3 linked regions of the Xenopus tropicalis genome follow. The protein of the gene in region 2 interacts with the protein of the main gene of each other region in a pairwise test. Links are inferred from orthologs where the notes say so. Each region holds a gene or a part of one and is shown on either strand. Other genes may lie near its edges.

Region 1 (4,214 bases), on a different chromosome or scaffold from region 2:
AGGGGCAAATCCCTGTACCTTTCAGCCCCTGAGAACTGATAGAGCTCAGTATATATTATATATATATATTTAGATGTTAAGGATCCTTCTCTGTGCCCCTATATTGGCTTCTCTATGGTACTCTGTCCTCCAGTGTCCCCCCCCCCCCCCATGTCCCTCAACTCCCTGCCCCCCTCCCCCTCTCTGCTCACTTTCCTTCCTAATTCTTCCTGCATTTACTCATTACCCCTCCAACCTGCCCTTCCTCCCCTGCCCCTGCCCCTGCCCTTTCTCCCCTGCCCCTTCCCAACCCTCCTGCCCCTGCTCTTCCCCCTCTGCCCCTTCCCAACCCCCCTGCCCTTTCTCCCCTGCCCCTTCCCAATACCCCTCCCCTTCCCAACCCCCCTGCCCCTGCTCTTCCTCCCCTGCCCCTTCCCAACCCCCCTGCCTTTCCTCCCCTGCCCCTTCCCAACCCCCCTGCCCCTGCTCTTCCTCCCCTGCCCCTTCCCAACCCCCCTGCCCCTGCTCTTCCCCCTCTGTCCCTTCCCAACCCCCCTGCCCTTCCTCCCCTGCCCCTTCCCAACCCCCCTGCCCCTGCTCTTCCTCCCCTGCCCCTTCCCAACCCCCCTGCTCTTCCCCCTCTGCCCCTTCCCAACCCCCCTGCCCTTTCTCCCCTGCCCCTTCCCAATACCCCTCCCCTGCCCTTCCCAATCCACCTGCCCTTCCTTCCCTGCCCTTTCTCCCCTGCCCCTCCTCCTCTGCCCCTTCCCAATCCCCCTGCCCTTCCTTCCCTGTCTCTGCCCAACCCCCCTGCCCTTCCTCCCCTGCCCAACCCCCCTGCCCTTCCTCCCCTGCCCATCCCCCCTGCCCTTCCTCCCCTGCCCTCCTTCCCAATCTCCCTGCCCCTGCCCCTTCCTCCCCTGCCCAACCCCCCTGCCCTTCCTCCCCTGCTCATCCCCCCTGCCCTTCCTGCCCTCCTTCCCAATCCCCCTGCCCAACCCCCCTGCCCTTCCTCCCCTGCTCATCCCCCCTGCCCTTCCTGCCCTCCTTCCCAATCCCCCTGCCCCTTCCTTCCCAATCCCCCTAACCTTCCTCCTCTGCCCCTTTGGTTTTTTTTGTTTTTATTTTTTTGTTTCTCACTTCCTCCATCTCCCCCCCCCCAGCCCTTCCCGCCCTTCCCCCTCCCCTCCCCCACTTGCTTTCTTTTCTCTCCCAGGCATTTCCCTGTATGGGCTCGGGCTGCTTCCTGGTGCTACTGTCCCTTTAAGAGGCAGTGCTGAGTGCTGGGAATTCACGTCAGATTCAGGACTTGCACACTTTAAGATCAATGAGCCGGAGGGAGGAAGGGGGGAGACTCACTTCTGCCTGTAGTTTCTCTCTTCCAGGAAGGAAACCAGAGGAAAGAAATCCCCCCAGAGCGGCAGGGGCAGCAGTTCCCATCAGCCCCAAGCAACAGGATTGCCCTGCTGGGAGAAGTGCAAGGAGAGCCCCCCTGAAGCCCCAGCTGCACCCCTGGACTACAATGTGCTAAGTTTTTGTTTCCCAGAGGGGGAAGGGGGCGCCCCCCCTCGCTGCAACCCCCCCGACCCCCCTTTATCCTTAAAAAACGACTCTCTGTTTCCTGGAAATGTCTTCAGCTCAGTGTTACATTAAGGTGAGTGTCTCTGTCTCTTCCATATCCCTTCCCAGCAGCCTTAGTGCCCCTTCCTTACCCCTTCCCAGCAGCCTTAGTACCCCTTCCCAGCAGCCTTAGTGCCCCTTCCTTACCCCTTCCCAGCAGCCTTAGTGCCCCTTCCTTACCCCTTCCCAGCAGCCTTAGTGCCCCTTCCTTACCCCTTCCCAGCAGCCTTAGTGCCCCTTCCCAGCAGCCTTAGTGCCCCTTCCCAGCAGCCTTAGTGCCCCTTCCTTACCCCTTCCCAGCAGCCTTAGTGCCCCTTCCTTACCCCTTCCCAGCAGCCTTAGTGCCCCTTCCCAGCAGCCTTAGTGCCCCTTCCCAGCAGCCTTAGTGCCCCTTCCGTGCCCCTTCCCAGCAGCCTTAGTACCCCTTCCCAGCAGCCTTAGTGCCCCTTCCTTACCCCTTCCCAGCAGCCTTAGTGCCCCTTCCCAGCAGCCTTAGTGCCTCTTCCTTACCCCTTCCCAGCAGCCTTAGTGCCCCTTCCTTACCCCTTCCCAGCAGCCTTAGTGCCCTTTCCCAGCAGCCTTAGTGCCCCTTCCCAGCAGCCTTAGTACTCCTTCCCAGCAGCCTTAGTGCCCCTTCCTTACTCCTTCCCAGCAGCCTTAGTGCCCCTTCCTTACCCCTTCCCAGCAGCCTTAATGCCCCTTCCCAGCAGCCTTAGTACTCCTTCCCAGCAGCCTTAGTACCCCTACCCAGCAGCCTTAGTGCCCCTTCCTGCCCCGGAACCCCTGCAGGTTGGGAAGCCTTTCCCCCCACACGTTGCTATGGGCTCAATGCTGAGGCTTCGCTGCTCTGACAGATACAATCTATCTCCTATTCTCTTATTTACCCCGCACTTCTCAGAAACTTTTCCCATGCTGCCCCTATGTACTATTCCTATGATCGCTGCATTATTGTGAGTAAAGCTGCTCATTCGCTGAAGTAGTAAGTGCAGTGCTGGGTTTCCCGGCACAGATGGTCTCTATTTTACCCCGAGGATTCTGTATATCTATTTACTGAGTATTTTTAATATGTATTTTTGTACAAGTTTACCCTTAAGGAAGGGGGTCATTACTGTTAAGGGGAGCTTCACCTAAATACTTGCTTAATGAAAGAATATAGACAGCAGACGGAATGTGCTTTTAATGGTAATTACTGCCATTTCAAACCATAAATATAGGGGAAAGTTAGGGGGGGACCCCTGTAGCTAATCTGATTTTCATAGGAGACAGGAAGTAATGGTTTGGGGCCTTTGTGTTACAGGCCTAACCGGTAATAGAACATATTACAGGTATGGGATCTCTTATCCGGAAACCGGTTATCCAGAAAGTTCTGAATTACGGAAAGGCCATCTCCCATAGACTCCATTATAAGTAAATCTAATTTTTTAAAATGATATCCTTTTTCTCAGTAATAATAAAACAGTACCTGTACTTGATCCCAACTAAGATATAATTACCCCTTATTGGGGCAGAACAGCCCTATTGGGTTTATTTCATGGTTAAATGATTCCCTTTTCTCTGTAATAATAAAACAGTACCTGTACTTGATCCCAACTAAGATATAATTACCCCTTATTGGGGGCAGAACAGCCCTATTGGGTTTATTTAATGGTTAAATGATTCCCTTTTCTCTGTAATAATAAAACAGTACCTGTACTTGATCCCAACTAAGATATAATTACCCCTTATTGGGGGCAGAACAGCCCTATTGGGTTTATTTAATGGTTAAATGATGTTTAGCAGACTTAAGTTATGGAGATCCAAGTTATGGAAAGATCCCTTATTTGGAAAACCCCAGGTCCCGAGCATTCTGGATAACAGGTCCCATACCTTGTTAGAGGTGTCTAATCCCAAGAGCTTGCAATTTAAAAAAAAAGTGTTATTGTTAATCTGACAAGGGGGGGCTATATCCCTTGAAACAATGGCATAATTAGAAGTGACTAAAGCCCAACAATAAAATAAATTTCAAAGCCACACTCCAGGGCCGACAGCAGTTGCAGTATCTGCTTCCTGAACTACATCTCCCAGCATCCCCTGCAGAACCAAGGGTGTTGTTCTCTTACTATAAATGGCGGGATATGTGATTAGATTTGTACCCTGAAAGAGTTAACCCCATAGAGTGTTTATGTCATGGGGAAAGAGAAGACTATTTCCACCTCTATTGTGTAAGTGTAATTTCTCTCTCTCTCTTGGCTGCCGCTTTAAGGAAGAAATTTCCATTTCCTGGTTAAAAATAAGTGTTGGCACCACGTGTGCCCGCTCTTCCTCCTGCTTCTGTGCCCACGGTGCCCTGGGATAATAAGGCTGGCACGGGGGGGGGAATTGCAGGTGTCTGGTTCATAGCAGCAGTAGCGTTAGGGTAGGGTCTAAAGGGGCATTTGTCCACCCTGTGGCGCAGGGGATGATGGGAGTTGTAGTTCTGCAATAGATGGATGGCTGCAGGTTGTACGTCCCTGGATTACATTTTTTTCCCCTTAGACTGTGGCCCCATATTCTCCACAGTTAACTTATCAGGGGCCCTTTTTGCTGTGAGCAGCAGTGTACCTAGAGATTCACTGATATGTATAGGCCAAGGGCTA
Region 2 (3,985 bases):
CTATAATATTTTAATCAATCATTAAATCAATACAAAAAGATACAAGTCATAAGTTAAAAGATACAATAGGATATAGTGATAATCAAAAACAGTTCGTTAAAACTAAAATGTTGGCCCTATTAGTTCATTAAAAAAGTGAACTAGGATAAATGAGGATGGTACAATAAATACGTGCATAAATAGTCATTTAAAAAGCTAAACGTATTTATTGTACCATCCTCATTTATCCTAGTTCACTTTTTTAATGAACTAATAGGGCCAACAATTTAGTTTTAACGAACTGTTTTTGATTATCACTATATCCTATTGTATCTTTTAACTTATGACTTGTATCTTTTTGTATTGATTTAATGATTAATTAAAATATTATAGAATTTTTACACTTGGTGGTATATTTTTTTAGCGCTAACTCCTTGTTATAATATTTATATATTCACTGTGAGGATTAGTTTGGAGGAAGGAGGCTATTTATGATATTCTATTCACTATTTGGGTAAGAGGATTGTTGTTGGGTAATTTAATTTGTTTTTTAGAATAATATTAGTCTTTCACGAACTACACATAAATTTATTAGAAGCGCGGGTAAGGTTTATTCACACAATTTTGATAATTATGTCTATTCTCCACCCACCCTATGCCTCGGTATCTGTTATTTAGTCTCTTCCCAATGTGTCCTCTAATATAGAGGCATCAGGGGCTCTCAAGGGATCAGATTGACAAGATAAGATAACCAATTTTTTTTTCATATAAGCAATTGTCTGTAATTTGGCTCATTCATTTAACCAGTTTATATAAACATTTGTGGTCAATTTCAATCATGCGACGCAACCAAAAAGGTTAAGAATCACCTACTAAAACGTCAAAAGCCACGTAAAGCCAGGTAAAGCCAATCTACTATGTAACGGGGCCTTTTAATGATGTGAGGCTGGCAGTGCCAAAGCCATTAGACGCCTACTATTAATGCTCGGCTTTGGAGAGGTTAATGCTCTATACAGAAAAAACACTGGATATCAATGGTTAAAGGCTGACGTTCGCATTACAATATGGACACAAAAGCGCCACCTAGTGCTCAGCGTCTGTGCAAGCGCATACCCCTACCATTTGCCGCAAGCCGCAGCAGTGCGCGTCAGCAAAATGTGGGCGGTGCCGCATGTATCGGAAATGAGGTCATTCCCAAGAACCGGAACACCTTCCTTGTCTGGTTCTCTTGTGCTGTTATTGTGCCCGGAGGAAGGAAAAGCGTAGAGCGGTCCAGTGTAGCGAACCGATACCGGCCGAGAGCAGTTAGCATGTCTGATCAGGTGAGACACTTTTGTGGAGTGGGCGGGAGAACGAGAGAAAGTCTCTGGGACGTGTGTGTCTTGTTTTGTGTGTCTGGAGACCTGCTTGTAGATGTAAACAAGTAGGTCTCATGGCTACACATTAATATGCAGCTAAAGTAGTACATGCGGCCCATAACCAAGGGCGGCAGCTAAGTCATTTACTTTCATTTTATACGACACTTAGACTATTAGAGCTGGTTGCTATGGGTTTCTGCTGCTGTGCACTTTTGCTGGATAAACTGCTCTATAGGACCCACACCCCGTTGTGTGTCGTGTAATTTGCTTTATGTCTTATTGTCCAGTATGTGTATCTTCTCCTGTAGATGTTATTATCTGTGAGTAATTGCCCAGTGGTGGTTGGCGAAGTGAGAGGCCTAACAGGAAAGCCAGAGATATATTGGCCCATATAGTTATTTGACCTATATAAAGTATATATTAACCTAACAAGTTTCAGCAGCTTTAGCCTTATGGGGTCTCACACAGCATTGATTTGTTACAGTAGGGTAAATCTGTTAGCCTGGAAGAGCTCAAAGCATTTCAGAACTATCAGGTACATAAATTAAGTCTATTTATGAGCATCCACTAAGTGTTTGTAGATACATTATTATGTTTGGTTGAAAATATAACAATCGCGTTTAACCCTTCCAAACAAACACCGCTGCACACGTATACACATGTTAATTTAATTGTAGTGGTAATTCCCATTACCCAGGGGAGGTATCATGTTAAGCTGTGTGTAGGTATGTGGGAGTTAACGATTGATCTCTTGTAGTACACTCTGCTTGTTTATATTGTATGTAATGTTCAAGCACATCTTGTTTTCTTGCATGACTTTCATAGTTTAGGATCCCAATCTTATCTTTAATGCAGCCACCTAAAGGGTGACGGTTTAAACATTCAAGTGGACTACAGGCCAAAATGATTAGATCCCTGTGATGTTGGGCAGTACCAGCTAGTCCTGTCACTTCAAACTTTGCTGATGCCGCATTCATGTGGGCATGGGGACCACTGGGAGCCCCAAATTTCTGTCTGGCCCAATTAAGTGCACTTTCAATGGTGCGACGGATTAAATACCAGTGATGCACGCAGATGTTTCTGTTGAAAGCTGTTTTTCCCATTATTGGTATTTATTGCCTTACATTTAGGGCAACATTGCGTACATGCATTTGTGTCAAATGTATATCACTCTGTTATTTTGTATCTCAGTCTGTGGGTATGTGTGAACAAGTATTCCCATTTCATCATACACCTCTAAAATAGTGTCTGAAAAGTTGCTTTTTGTACAGCTTTACTGAAAAAAAATTTAAATACTTTGCTAGCACCATTGAGCAATTCCATTCACTGCTGGGTGCTTTTCCAAGATGTGCAGAAGAGTTAGTAGGGCTCCTAAATTATCTCTGCAAGTGTAATTTCAGTCTCTAACTTCCGCGCAGTTAGTTGTGTGTAAAACCACTTTCATTTGAGGTACGTAAGTGAAAATGCGCTTCTTAAAGGACAAGGAAAGTCGAAATCTATTAAGCACACTATTAAATAGTACTACTATTGCTGTGTAAAAACGCTATATTTCTGGCTTGCCCAATGAAATATTTACAGAGATACACATACTAGAACTTACATACTTGTTTCAGTGAACGGCGCCGCCATCTTGTCCAGCATGTCTGTATGGGCTATTGCTGAAAAGCACAAGCCAGCCCCCCTCCGATCCCCTCACCTGCCACAAACCCTCCACCGCTCCCCGCTTCTGCCACAACCCCCCCCCGCTTCTGCCACAACCCCCCCCCCGCTTCTGCCACAACCCCCCCCCGCTCCTGCCACAACCCCCCCCGCTCCTGCCACAACCCCCCCCTGCTCCTGCCACAACCCCCCCCTGCTCCTGCCACAACCCCCCCCTGCTCCTGCCACAACCCCCCCCCGCTCCTGCCACAACCCCCCCCCCCCTGCTCCTGTCACAAACCCTCCGCCGCTTCCCACTCCTGCCACAAACCCCCCGCCGCTCCTCCCACCTGCCGGCTCTGCATGTCACAAATGCAGATGCATCACTGCATATCAACTCCCCCGGCTCCCCGCTCCTGCCACAAACCCTCTGCCGCTCCCCCCACCTGCCAGGTCTGAATGTCACAGAGCAGAGTTCTCCTGTCGGCTGCGTCGCCATGGCAACCAGACGCTCCTGCTGTGTGCGCATGCGCTGCCTACAGTCCCAAGTTGCCAAGTCTGGGCAGGAGCGTTGCATTATGGGAATCTTCTCTACCCTGCTCAGCGTTTTTTTTTCCTGTTTGGCTTCTGATCTTCTGAACAGGTGAAGTATGGGGAGACTTAAGGGCACTATTGAGTCAACTGAAGGTATGCCTGCAGTTTGGGATTAACTCTTTATTAGCCTTTCCTTCTCCTTTAAACTTTAATGTAGGTGTGCTTGGCACAGCTCAGTCCTTCCTGTCTTGTGAACTAAGGCACAACACAATTGCACCAAGCACATTGACTCTTGCAACTGCAAAGATGCTGGAATTCTGGGAAAAATATTGCATTGTGGAAAAAACTAGGCGATTGCAGTTAAAATTGCACATGCAGATGTATAGGTACCCTGGTGTCTCATCAGTTTTCATTGTAGGATGTAAATCAATTGGCAGCTAGGCCGAGTTTGTGAAAGGCCACAAAGACCTTCCCTA
Region 3 (4,047 bases), on a different chromosome or scaffold from region 2:
AGTAGAAAGTAACAGTACAGTCACATACCCTATAGAGCAGGGAGCAGGGGGTAGAACTGCCCCACATCCCAGTAGAAAGTAACAGTACAATCACATACCCTATAGAGCAGGGAGCAGGGGGTAGAACTGCCCCACATCCCAGTAGAAAGTAACAGTACAATCACATACCCTATAGAGCAGGGGGTAGAACTGCCCCACATCCCAGTAGAAAGTAACAGTACAATCACATACCCTATAGAGCAGGGAGCAGGGGGTAGAACTGCCCCACATCCCAGTAGAAAGTAACAGTACAATCACATACCCTATAGAGCAGGGAGCAGGGGGTAGAACTGCCCCACATCCCAGTAGAAAGTAACAGTACAGTCACATACCCTATAGAGCAGGGGGTAGAACTGCCCCACATCCCAGTAGAAAGTAACAGTACAGTCACATACCCTATAGAGCAGGGGGTAGAACTGCCCCACATCCCAGTAGAAAGTAACAGTACAATCACATACCCTATAGAGCAGGGGGTAGAACTGCCCCACATCCCAGTAGAAAGTAACAGTACAGTCACATACCCTATAGAGCAGGGGGTAGAACTGCCCCACATCCCAGTAGAAAGTAACAGTACAGTCACATACCCTATAGAGCAGGGAGCAGGGGGTAGAACTGCCCCACATCCCAGTAGAAAGTAACAGTACAGTCACATACCCTATAGAGCAGGGGGTAGAACTGCCCCACATCCCAGTAGAAAGTAACAGTACAATCACATACCCTATAGAGCAGGGAGCAGGGGGTAGAACTGCCCCACATCCCAGTAGAAAGTAACAGTACAATCACATACCCTATAGAGCAGGGAGCAGGGGGTAGAACTGCCCCACATCCCAGTAGAAAGTAACAGTACAATCACATACCCTATAGAGCAGGGAGCAGATTGCAGAACAGACAGGTTGAGCCTGAAAAAGCAAAAAAGAATTCAAAACAGAACCTCTGTCTATACTGCCCAATTGCATGCTGGGTATTGTAGTTTTATATTAATCCTAGCTGTAGGCTAATTGTTACAGACAAACTACATTACCCAGCATGCAGTGGAGCAGGGGAAAAAAAACTTTGGTTAGTTTCCAAACTACAAACCCGCCAAGGCTCCAAAAAAATAGACCAAAACTGTTCCTTGGCGGGTTTGTACTTTGGAAACTCGCCAGGGCATTAAATTAGTGGCCCAATGTGGCGGGAAACCCGCCTACCTGCCAACCTGGCCACCCTGGGCAGCATGTGATAGGGGCACAAAGTGATGCGAGTAAACATTGCGTGGCCTGGAACGTCACTTCCACATGGGCGGCGCTTGTAAGGGCCAAGGAGGAGTGAGGGGAGCCGTATAAATAAGTTGGGCAAATCCCCGGTGTGACAGAATGCAGTAGGCCTCAGGGGAAGCCCGGTGAGAAGAAGCGGCGGCAAATGGAATGGCGGGAAAGGGCTGACAGGCAGAAGGCGGACACGGGCACGGTAAGGGGGAGGCGGGGGCTCCTGGCAGAAAGCGCCAATGGGTTTCCCTGCCACGCATTGTGGCCCAGGGGCACTGGGGCTGCGGCTGTTATTGGGCTGCCCTTATGTGCCATGTGGTAAAATAGCTCTGCAATGTCTTCCTGCTGCATTGGCTTCTGGCTCTACTGATAGTACAAGGCAGGGCTGGGTGCTACAGGGGGAATGGAGGAGCTGGCAGCAGCACATGTTGCTGAGTACCCGGCATTTGGAGCTGGCTATTGCCAAGGTAAAGTAATGGTTTGGGTGCTGCCTACAGGAGCTGGGTGCTGCCTACAGGAGCTGGGTGCTGCCTACAGGAGCTGGGTGCTGCCTACAGGAGCTGGGTGCTGCCTACAGGAGCTGGGTGCTGCCTACAGGAGCTGGGTGCTGCCTACAGGAGCTGCTGCTGCGATAGGCAGAGTCAAGAGCTGGGTGCTGCAGGGGGGGGGGGGGAGAGCCAAGAGCTGGGTGCTGCAGGGGGGGGGGAGAGCCAAGAGCTGGGTGCTGCAGGGGGGGGGGGAGAGCCAAGAGCTGGGTGCTGCAGGGGGGGGGGGAAGAGCCAAGAGCTGGGTGCTGCAGGGGGGGGGGGGGGGGGGAAGAGCCAAGAGCTGGGTGCTGCAGGGGGGGGGGGGAAGAGCCAAGAGCTGGGTGCTGCAGGGGGGGGGAAGAGCCAAGAGCTGGGTGCTGCAGGGGGGGGGGAAGAGCCAAGAGCTGGGTGCTGCAGGGGGGGGGGGGGGGAAGAGCCAAGAGCTTGGTGCTGCAGGGGGGGGGGGGAAGAGCCAAGAGCTGGGTGCTGCAGGGGGGGGGGGGGAGAGCCAAGAGATGGGTGCTGACATGTGGAGGTAACGATCTAAGTAATACCAAACATGGACAGGATCTGGGTGCTGCCAGGCAGTGGGGCTGCATCTGGGTGCTGCCAAAGGGAGATATTGTGATGAACTAGCAGTGGATGAGGCAGGCACTAGGTACTGCCAGGCAGTGAGTGGCAAGTGCTGGGTGCTGCCACAGAGGGAGTGTCAGGGGCTTGGTGCTGCTTCATGAAGGCACAGAAGTACTGGCAGTTGGATCTATGGGTTCTGGGCACTGCCGCGGAGTGAGGGGCAGGAGCTGTCACATGAAGACACAGAAGTACTGGCAGTTGGATCTACAGGAGCTGGGTGATGCTGAGGTCGGCAGGTGCTGGGCGCTGCCATGGAGTGAGGGGCAGGCGCTGGGTGCTGCCACATGAAGACACGGAAGTACTAGCAGTTGGATCTATAGGAGCTGGGTGATGCTGAGGTCGACATGCTAGATGCTGCAGTGGGGAGAACCACCAGGTGGATTCATCTAAGTGAATGGGCAGCAGCTGGTTGCTCCTAAGTGGCAGGAAGGATCTTGGTTGTGTGAAACGTAGACAGCCATTTGATGCAAAGTGAAAGTATAGTAGCTGTCTTTTTGCCTCGGGGAGGAACTGGGTGCTGCCTCCGGAAATTAGTGCGATACTAAAGGTAGACAGAAGCTAAATGCTGCAATGGGAAGTGGGAAGAGTCGGGGCTTGGTGATGTCGAGGGACCTATTTACTGGCAATTGGATCTACCGGGTGCTGCCAAGTGAGGCAGGAGCTGAATGCAAGTAAGGGGTGGCATGAGCTGTGTGCTGCCATAGTGACTGAAGGATCTCGGCTGTGCCAAAGGTAGACTGGAGCTAGAAAATGGGTGAGGCAGGAGCCAGGTGTTGCTGGAGGGTGGAGTGAGGAAGAAGCCAGGGGCTGCCAAGGAGGGAGAAGCTGCTAGAAAACTTTCCAAAGAGAGTTGCTGTCCGAATGATGGAGAAAGTAGGTTCTGTAGCAAGTGGCATAATGGGATTGGCTAGGAGGAGTTAAAAAAAGGGATGCCTGAGCTTGAAGCTACATTGTTTGGCCAGGAGAACATCTGTACAGTATGCCTCAGGATGCCTCTTGTGCAACCATTTATGTGACACCTGTTGTGGAATCGACGTAAGTGTGAGCGCGGTCTATTTTTCCAAATGAATGCTCCGAGCAGAGCACAGTATTGCTTGACCTTAAATTCCCACTTGTTACAAAACATTGTACCCAGATTTCTGGTTATCATAACAACCTTCATCAGCTCTCTGACAGAAAAGTAGACAACAGGAAGCAGTGGTTTTGTAACACAGGAAATCTGAACACACTAAAAGGCAGAAAACATTGCATGAAGCATTCTTTGCTATGGAAAAGAAGAGGTACGTCATTTATATTTGCAAACCATCCAGATTTAGTGTCTACTAGAAATATGAGAGTCTATAGCCTGGTAACACAGAACACTCCCAATAACGTGGGAGCAAAGTATTCAACCAGAGGTTTCTACAAAGATGTAATGTCACCCTAAAGAAATTTCCAGAAGAGATGATTAGTCAAAGAATGTCAGTTTCTCAGGCTTTTGGACTCCATAGAATAACCGTGAAGAGAACATTATATCAAATCTTGCCTTGGCTGGCCTACCAAAGTAACTGCAAGGGTGCAGAGACCTCTCCAAGGGGTCGCAGAACATCCAAGAAGACTGATGG

Evidence for each region.
Region 1: the proteins of sumo1 (region 2) and etv6 interact in a two-hybrid assay, tested with the Homo sapiens proteins (2 studies listed by BioGRID). The link is inferred for Xenopus tropicalis from reciprocal best matches to the Homo sapiens genes SUMO1 and ETV6.
Region 3: the proteins of sumo1 (region 2) and setx interact in a two-hybrid assay, tested with the Homo sapiens proteins (2 studies listed by BioGRID and IntAct). The link is inferred for Xenopus tropicalis from reciprocal best matches to the Homo sapiens genes SUMO1 and SETX.

Annotation. Positions count from the first base shown.
Region 1 is NC_030679.2:8,142,645-8,146,858, forward strand, and holds the start of etv6 (transcription factor ETV6), read left to right. Parts: upstream 1-1,414; 5' UTR 1,415-1,606; coding exon 1,607-1,633; intron 1,634-4,214. UniProt on the Homo sapiens protein: Transcriptional repressor; binds to the DNA sequence 5'-CCGGAAGT-3'. Plays a role in hematopoiesis and malignant transformation.
Region 2 is NC_030685.2:52,313,296-52,317,280, reverse strand, and holds the start of sumo1 (small ubiquitin-related modifier 1 precursor), read left to right. Parts: upstream 1-1,185; 5' UTR 1,186-1,289; coding exon 1,290-1,301; intron 1,302-3,985. UniProt on the Homo sapiens protein: Ubiquitin-like protein that can be covalently attached to proteins as a monomer or a lysine-linked polymer.
Region 3 is NC_030684.2:11,767,689-11,771,735, forward strand, and holds the start of setx (probable helicase senataxin), read left to right. Parts: upstream 1-1,247; 5' UTR 1,248-1,485; intron 1,486-1,633; exon of another isoform or gene 1,634-1,750; intron 1,751-4,047. UniProt on the Homo sapiens protein: Probable RNA/DNA helicase involved in diverse aspects of RNA metabolism and genomic integrity.